Arabidopsis thaliana: one gene and its partner. The protein of the gene in region 2 interacts with the protein of the main gene of each other region in a pairwise test. Each region holds a gene or a part of one and is shown on either strand. Other genes may lie near its edges.

What was found.
Region 1: the proteins of AT1G12810 (region 2) and NPR4 interact in a two-hybrid assay, tested with the Arabidopsis thaliana proteins (one large-scale study listed by BioGRID).

Annotation. Positions count from the first base shown.
Region 1 is NC_003075.7:10,695,742-10,700,814, reverse strand, and holds NPR4 (NPR1-like protein 4), read left to right. Parts: upstream 1-2,022; 5' UTR 2,023-2,571; coding exon 2,572-3,090; intron 3,091-3,181; coding exon 3,182-3,920; intron 3,921-4,001; coding exon 4,002-4,549; downstream 4,550-5,073. Other genes in the region: AT4G19670 (RING/U-box superfamily protein), read left to right, coding at 1-764, 1,024-1,432. UniProt on the Arabidopsis thaliana protein: Salicylic acid (SA)-binding substrate-specific adapter of an E3 ubiquitin-protein ligase complex (CUL3-RBX1-BTB) which mediates the ubiquitination and subsequent proteasomal degradation of NPR1 in the absence of SA.
Region 2 is NC_003070.9:4,365,403-4,369,338, forward strand, and holds AT1G12810 (proline-rich family protein), read left to right. Parts: upstream 1-1,853; 5' UTR 1,854-1,929; coding exon 1,930-1,972; intron 1,973-2,091; coding exon 2,092-2,389; exon of another isoform or gene 2,390-2,617; coding exon 2,618-2,716; exon of another isoform or gene 2,717-3,069; coding exon 3,070-3,118; 3' UTR 3,119-3,402; downstream 3,403-3,936. Other genes in the region: AT1G12805 (nucleotide binding protein), read left to right, coding at 1,326-1,553; AFB3 (auxin signaling F-box 3), read right to left, coding at 3,477-3,936.

The DNA of each region.
Region 1 (5,073 bases), on a different chromosome or scaffold from region 2:
ACTCGTGAGGAGCAGCTCGAGATCCCTCTTTTAGTAGCTCTGAGAGAAAGGGTATTGGAGAAAACAAGTAACCTTAATGGGTTTGTTCTAAAGCTTGCTCCTTTCTGTGATCTTGATGAAGCTCTAAGCTTGGCTCAAGTAGCGGTAGGAATCGTGTCTTCTAATCTTGATGGGGATAAACCGATCGAGAACTGCTCGATCTGCTGTGAAGACCGTCAGTCTGAGATGATGCTATCATTGAAATGCACTCACAAATTCTGTTCGCACTGCATGAAAACGTACGTTGAAGGGAAAGTAAAGACTTCAGAGGTTCCCATCAGGTGTCCTCAAGTGCAATGCAAGCATTATCTCTCAGCAGCGGAATGCAAATCGTTCCTTCCCGTCACTACTTTCAAATCATTCGAGGAAGCAAATGTGTGTAGTAAAAACAATGGGAAGATTTACTGCCCATATCCCAATTGCTCTTTTCTGTTAGACCCGCAAGAATGTCTATCATCAGGAAGGGCTAGCTCAAGCTCGTCTACTCAGTCAGAGAATAGCTGCTGTGTGGAGTGTCCAGTCTGTGAGAGGTTTGTGTGTGTGGACTGTGGTGTTCCTTGGCATGCTTCTATGAGCTGTGAAGAGTTTCAGATTCTTCCAGTTGATGAAAGATACCCAGATGATATTACATTGCATCGCTTGGCAAGGTATAAGAGGTGGAGGCGGTGTCAGCAATGCCGTATAATGATCGAGCTTGCTCAAGGCTGCAACCACATGACTTGCCGGTAAGACACACATATATATCTATGGCTACACATTGTTTTCCGTATCTATACATATTTGAACCACCAAAGTTAGGTTTTTGACTTCCAATAAAATATAGTTAGTCTTGACCCTTTAACTGCAGAATCACGGTATCGTAATAACCATATGATTCTAAGGTTTTTTTTTTCTCGCCTACGTTTAAATCTAGTATTCTAGAGCAAGTGTTTCTTTTGCGATTCTTACGCATATAAATGTCAAAACTCTCTGTGTTTTCCGCAGATGCGGGCATGAGTTTTGCTACTCGTGTGGAGCAGAGTACAGAGAAGGGCAACAGACTTGCACGTGTGCTTTTTGGGACGATGATGAAGAAGAACAAGAAAACGCAGTAGAGGAAAACACAATTCAAGAAGTTGAGCAATGGCCTTGGGACACATTTAACTCAATTCCAACTGTAATGGACGCGTACTCAGAGCAAGAAAGATCTCAGCTTGCTCTGATCCAAAGGTTCTTAGCAGGTGGAGGGTTTAGTCTCAGTGATCACCATACTACTTATCAGTCACCGCCGCCTCCATGTACAGAGTCATCATATGTTGAAGCCGCAATGAAAGATCTTCATCAGCTTCCTTGGCTTGAGAGGTTTGTGTCTGTTATAAGTGATGATTACTATGAAGAGTATAATAGCCAGTGAAAGTAGTAGAATTGTAATTTAATAGCCTTGAGGATCCGGCTTGGTTTGGTTCAGAGAGGCCAAACGAGAGTATCTCACTCTCGAAAGTAATTGTTGGGAGGGTTTTAGATTCTTGATGAACTCAAACAAACGAATTGTGATGAAACTATTTGCAATTATAAGAAGAAGAGTTTGCTCATCTCCATTCTACAAATCCTGCAAGAAAGATTAACACTCTTTTATATTCAGTGTTATGTTATGATATTTAATCTACCAAAATTTGGTTGAAGAACTAATCAAAATGAACTTGGTTAGCATCATCATATATATACCAACTACCAAGTAAAGAAAAAGTTTGATAAATTCAATTATTCATGCTCTTCAAATAAAATACAGAACCCATTAAAAAGGGTCCACTTATCATCAATCTACTCTTGCATTATCTTGAGTTTTTGTGTAGACATAACATAACCCATTTTATAAGTTATGACCTTATTAGAAAGGGTCCACTTATCATCAATCTACTTAGCATTTTGTGTATATTTCTCAAAGCTGACGTTATTTAAGACGTCATAGACCCACTTCACCACAACTCAAGTCGTCTTCAATTGCTGACGACATTGCTTACGGTTTTTGAATCGTCGTCACAAAATTTAGGAGATTGGATTAGGAATTGGCTCTTTCTTTACTATTCTCCAAAGACTTTACTATTTGGTCAGTCTTCTTATTTCTCACCTTTAGCTTTTAGATAAACCTCTGATTTTTTTCTCCCATCTGTTCTGAGATTGTCTTCTTCTTCTTGAAATCTTTTTCATTTGTGCAATGATTTTGAAGACTACCCATCTATTCAGTTCTTTCTCTTATGATTTAAGTTTCATTTAGTTTTTTTTTCTCATCCGCCATTTTCGTTGACTTTTTGAAGCATTTCTCGAATTGACTTTGTTCTTCACATTGATTCATTAGAATGTTCTTTCATAAAGTTTGGATCTTTTCTTCAGGGCTTGATTAATTTCATATCTATGATCTTCTCTGTATTGTTTTTGATCCAATCACTTCTCAAAATTTGATCCTTGTCATTGGATTTAGATTTAGGGTTTTTGTATCCTTGGGGATTTGAAGATCAAAAACAGAGTCTTTGAGTGATACTTCTGGGGAACAAAATGGCTGCAACTGCAATAGAGCCATCTTCATCTATAAGTTTCACATCTTCTCACTTATCAAACCCTTCTCCTGTTGTTACTACTTATCACTCAGCTGCTAATCTTGAAGAGCTCAGCTCTAACTTGGAGCAGCTTCTCACTAATCCAGATTGCGATTACACTGACGCAGAGATCATCATTGAAGAAGAAGCTAACCCTGTGAGTGTTCATAGATGTGTTTTAGCTGCTAGGAGCAAGTTTTTTCTTGATCTGTTTAAGAAAGATAAAGATAGTAGTGAGAAGAAACCTAAGTATCAAATGAAAGATTTATTACCATATGGAAATGTGGGACGTGAGGCATTTCTGCATTTCTTGAGCTATATCTACACTGGGAGGTTAAAGCCTTTTCCTATCGAGGTTTCAACTTGTGTTGATTCAGTTTGTGCTCATGATTCTTGTAAACCGGCCATTGATTTTGCTGTTGAGTTGATGTATGCTTCATTTGTGTTCCAAATCCCGGATCTTGTTTCGTCATTTCAGGTTTGAGATAAAGTTTCTTTGTGATTTTGCTGGTAAATAATCTGTTCTTGATTGGTCAAGGCTGTAATGTTGTGTGTTGTTGTGTCTGCAGCGGAAGCTTCGTAACTATGTTGAGAAGTCACTAGTAGAGAATGTTCTTCCTATCCTCTTAGTTGCGTTTCATTGTGATTTGACACAGCTTCTTGATCAATGCATTGAGAGAGTGGCGAGATCAGACTTAGACAGATTCTGTATCGAAAAGGAGCTTCCTTTAGAAGTATTGGAAAAAATCAAACAGCTTCGAGTTAAGTCGGTGAACATACCCGAGGTGGAGGATAAATCGATAGAGAGAACAGGGAAAGTACTCAAGGCATTGGATTCAGATGATGTAGAACTCGTGAAGCTTCTTTTGACTGAGTCAGATATAACTCTAGACCAAGCCAATGGTCTACATTATGCAGTGGCATACAGTGATCCGAAAGTTGTGACACAGGTTCTTGATCTAGATATGGCTGATGTTAATTTCAGAAATTCCAGGGGGTATACGGTTCTTCATATTGCTGCTATGCGTAGAGAGCCAACAATTATCATACCACTTATTCAAAAAGGAGCTAATGCTTCAGATTTCACGTTTGATGGACGCAGTGCGGTAAATATATGTAGGAGACTCACTAGGCCGAAAGATTATCATACCAAAACCTCAAGGAAAGAACCTAGTAAATACCGCTTATGCATCGATATCTTGGAAAGGGAAATTAGAAGGAATCCATTGGTTAGTGGGGATACACCCACTTGTTCCCATTCGATGCCCGAGGATCTCCAAATGAGGTTGTTATACTTAGAAAAGCGAGGTATTGACCTAGTCGATATATATATTTCTCATAGCTTAAGGTTGATGTCTCTTTATTGAATTCTTGTATGTGTCATTGCAGTGGGACTTGCTCAGTTGTTCTTCCCAGCAGAAGCCAATGTGGCTATGGACGTTGCTAATGTTGAAGGGACAAGCGAGTGCACAGGTCTTCTAACTCCACCTCCATCAAATGATACAACTGAAAACTTGGGTAAAGTCGATTTAAATGAAACGCCTTATGTGCAAACGAAAAGAATGCTTACACGTATGAAAGCCCTCATGAAAACAGGTAAAAGCTTAAGGAAATGTACTTTCAAGTTTTATTCTCTGACCACAAGATTGACTGATTCGAAACCGTTCAACAACGCAGTTGAGACAGGTCGGAGATACTTCCCATCTTGTTATGAGGTTCTGGATAAGTACATGGATCAGTATATGGACGAAGAAATCCCTGATATGTCGTATCCCGAGAAAGGCACTGTGAAAGAGAGAAGACAGAAGAGGATGAGATATAACGAGCTGAAGAACGACGTTAAAAAAGCATATAGCAAAGACAAAGTCGCGCGGTCTTGTCTTTCTTCTTCATCACCAGCTTCTTCTCTTAGAGAAGCCTTAGAGAATCCAACATGATCTTGTCCCAGATAAGTAATGCTACTAGAGATAGTTCCTTGGAAGAAATTAGCTATTTTATAGGTTTTGGTTTAGAAAACAGTGGAGATCCCATTTTGGTATTCAGGTTTATTACATGGTTTAGGTTTGATTTTGTATTAAAGGAGATGGATTTTTGAAATGTATAAAGCAAAACCTTTCCTTTTTGCTTTGCTTCTTTCTTTAGTCAGAAAATTGTAATATATGGAAGTGAAATCGAAGCAACGATTGAGCAGAACGAGAAGCACAAGAAAAATGTTAAGCTAGTTAAAAGATTTTCAAGCTTCTTGCAAGAGAATTACTAAACAGGCACTTTCTCAGGGGAAAGATCCTCGTGTTGAATTAATCTCAATACCAAAATCTAAGCCTGCTTCTGATAGCAAAACAGGAACTAGAGAATAGAGATAGTTCCTTTGAAAAGATTGAAGATCCCATTTTGGCTTTAGGTTCAATTTGTATTACAAGGGATTTTGATTTTTAAAATGTGTAAAGGAAAAATATGATGC
Region 2 (3,936 bases):
GGTGAAGACACGTGGTTGATGAAGGAGCAACTACAAAAAAAAGATTGCATTTTAACGTCTTGCCGTTGTTTCGTTTTAGAGATGAACTACACGTCGTTTTTTGAAATTTGCTTTAACGTCAAATCTTTTCATACACGCGTAAGATTGGGCTATCATGGGCCTAAAATTGGCCCAATAGAAGGATGGGAAAGAAACTCAAAGAAGAAAACTCTACCAAATAATCCATGTTTTTTTATGTATGCAGAAGTTTATTATATCTGTATATATAGATAAACACTGATATATCTAAATATCTAATGCACTGAGGCTATTTCATTGTTTCAGTTTACTTAACATTGTTATTTATTTTGATATCGATTAGGGTTTGGATTTTGTGGGTTCGTCATAAAAGGGACTAGAGTTTTTTTTTATTGAAAAAGGAAACGGACTAGCTAGAGTTATAGTTTTGCATATCGGCTCTACCTAAAGTTTTAAATAAGTTGAATTCACGCATGCATCAAATAACTCGTGCACTTTAACGAACATTAATTGGTTAATCCACTGATTGTCAAATATCGACTATGAATTAGTCCATTTTATTCTTCTCGTTCCATACAATAAATCGATGTTAGTACAGTGGCAAAAGTGTAGTTTAGCAAGGACGAACACATGTGAGACGAGAAAAGGGACAAAGAGCTGAAAGTATAAATAGGCGTTACGTTCTATAGCGGTTTTCATGCTGAGAACATCATACAATTGTCGTTCGATATAATCTGTGGCTTGCATAGTTTACGGCTCCTCGTTTGGATTTTTGAGGAATTTATATAATTATAAATAATGACTATTTGTATTTTCACATACTTCAGTAGATAGATTCTCGAATCTCGAGATTACCAATATCATGCACATCATCATATGATGCATACACGTGATGTAATAAAGTTATTTTAATATGTATTCAGCCAAAAGTTGCACCAAAAAGAGAATCCATCGAATCCACGAAAACTAGGTTCTACTAATTAGTTATCTATTAAATTATTTCACAAAACTAATAACCATATAGCATTCAACACGAGTACACATCTATAACGGGGGGAAAAAAACTTTTATGGAAAACATTTAAAATAAATATGTATAAGTTAGTTAATATATGTGCCAAAACATGGAACCTAACGCCCACAGTTTTTCCCCATCTATAAAATATATGTACTTTCAGCCTTTCACTTCAATTCCCTAGCTCAACAAACAACAAACTATGAATCAAAACATATATCTCTTTATTTCATAATCATTTCCATAAATTACACCCTCAAAGGTTTTCCACTTCTTAAATCCCTTTTTATCAAATGGATGTCTTTATATCGGAAGAGTATATCAACCGCCGGAGATTGGAGAAAAAAGCTGCCACCGTTGCCGGAAAAAGCATGAGGTTTGGCTCAGCTTCAAGCAAGACACCAGAGAAGAGAAATAGTTACCCTCGGATATCGGAATCTCCGCCAGATAATGAGTTCCGGGTCACTGGCGGGGGTGTTTATGATAGCTTTGCCTTTGTGTTCCACTGCTTCTCGCCGTAAAAAAAACAAAGCGTTTGTGTTTAGCGATCAAAATGCATGCGCAATAGTATATGCATGGGAACTTTATTAGTTGTAGCTCTCGTTTTTCTAACATTTACTTGAAAAAATAATTCTTCTTAACACTGTTTTTCTGAATGATGGATAGAATTTCATGTTTACCAAATAAGTGGATAGGCCCAATAGCAAACAAACGAATAAATAAAAATTATTATCGGCCCAAATCCAATAAGAACGTGAGCAACATGATTTTAGTGACACGTGAATTTACTTAAATGAAAAGAAAAGCCTGGCACTTAAAATATATTTATATTTTCCAATAATCTCAAAAAAAAACTCTCTGATTCGAAAAGTGAAATTTGATTTTGACAAAAAAAAAATGAGCTACGACAGAGTCCCACCGGAATCGTATCCTCCTCCAGGTTCGTTCGTAATCACTTCTCCTTCTTATGATTCTCTTCTCTTCGATTCTAAATTCTGATTCTCTTATTTTGATCTATTCTAAAAGTACTAAGATCCTGTTTTTGATCGGACGAATTAGGATACCAATCTCACTATCCACCTCCGGGTTATCCATCAGCACCGCCACCGCCGGGATATCCTTCTCCTCCGTCGCATCACGAAGGATATCCTCCACCTCAGCCTTACGGAGGATATCCACCACCGTCTTCACGTCCTTACGAAGGCGGTTATCAAGGCTACTTCGCCGGAGGAGGTTATCCTCATCAGCATCACGGACCACCACCTCCTCCTCCGCCGCAAAATTACGACCACTGCCATCATGATCATCACCATTACCAAGATTCTGACTCTGGTTGCTTCTCTTTCATCCGTGGCTGGTTCGTTTCTTTCTCTACCACTTGCCGCCTTTTAATTTTCGTTTACTTTCATTGTTGTGAGTGCACTGATTCGATTCTCTGTGTTTTTTTTGGTCAATCTTGTTAGCTTTTATGTTGGATCACTGATTAATGCTCAGGGTTCATTGAACTAGTGTTTTGGTTTATGGAATTTGGGAATACTATGATCCTGATCAGAACCAGATTCCTTTGAGTTGATTTATGGATAAGCCATAATGTGAAACTCAAGAGTTCCGTTGTGAACCCTGACTTGACTTCTTTATCATTTTGTTTGGTGGCCAATTATCGAAATTTTAGAGCAAGAGATTCGTATTAATCCTTAGATTTAGTTCTCTGAGTGCTTTGCTGATCTTCTAAGGAAGGTTCTTGTCTTTTTATGATGAGTTTAGAGCTATCCATGTATAGACACATTTTTATGTTTATCTGTTGGACAGGATCTTTTACTTTTCAATGGATCTAGTGACTCTCTTAAGAACTACCTAATGGCTTTTATTTTACATTCTTAACCCCATAATATTTAGTATAAAGTTTGTAGATAAAATGTTATATCATCTGCAGCTTTTCTTTTAGTAAGAGATTTGTGATTGACCTCAAGTAGCCTAATCATGTTGCTTACAAATTGCGATTACGGAATCCTTTTTTTTGTGGGTTGCGAATTGCAGTCTTGCTGCTCTTTGCTGTTGCTGTTTGTTGGAGGAATGCTGCTTCTGAGAATGCCGCCAGTCTCTGTGGATCTCGTCGTTTACTGTCAGCATTATGTGTCTAATCGAAGACATATGCCATAACACTCTATGTCTTGTGTACTATCGTGTGTCAATGTCTGTTAATGTTTACCTCTTTGTTTGAGAGTGCACTCATCCAGAGCATGGATTAGACAAGTAGGTTTCTTGTGGATGTCATTGTAATTTGTATTATTTGGAAAACGTGATTGGTATTTTACCTAAATTTATGTTTTCAATGGCTGAATTACGGTGATAATAAAATGCGACATTTGTATTTGTTCCAAGTTTGATAAAAGGCAAAAACTAGTACAAAGAAAAGTTTGAAAACACATGAAGGTGCAAAGAGACTAAAGAATCCTAACATATGGTGGTGCATCTTTTCTAGTCCCAACCACTGTTCGGTAGAGGTAAAGTTTATCAACCTTCTCTCTTTCATCTTCTTCATTCTGTTCCATCCCATTATTCTCATTCTCGTTGATGATCTCTACGTTAAGCCGTGGCGAATTCTGCGCGAGCCTCTTGCAGCCACCGAGTGTTACTTCACAAGACGACATCCAAAGGGATCGCATTGTTTCGTACCTACCCACGTCAGCAAGAAGCGCAGCGTTCCCAAAAGGACTGTCCCTTATCTCCAGCTTCCTCATTTTTTTGCATCCATTCAACACATAGAGCATTCCTTTGTCAGTGTCCCCCGCAAAAGCTATCGAAAGCATCTCGAGCTGTTCCGCGTACATACCGATGTAGAGAAAGACTTGATCGGTTAAGAGACCGGAGACAGAGAGCCGTCTTAGACCCTTGCAAGCTTGT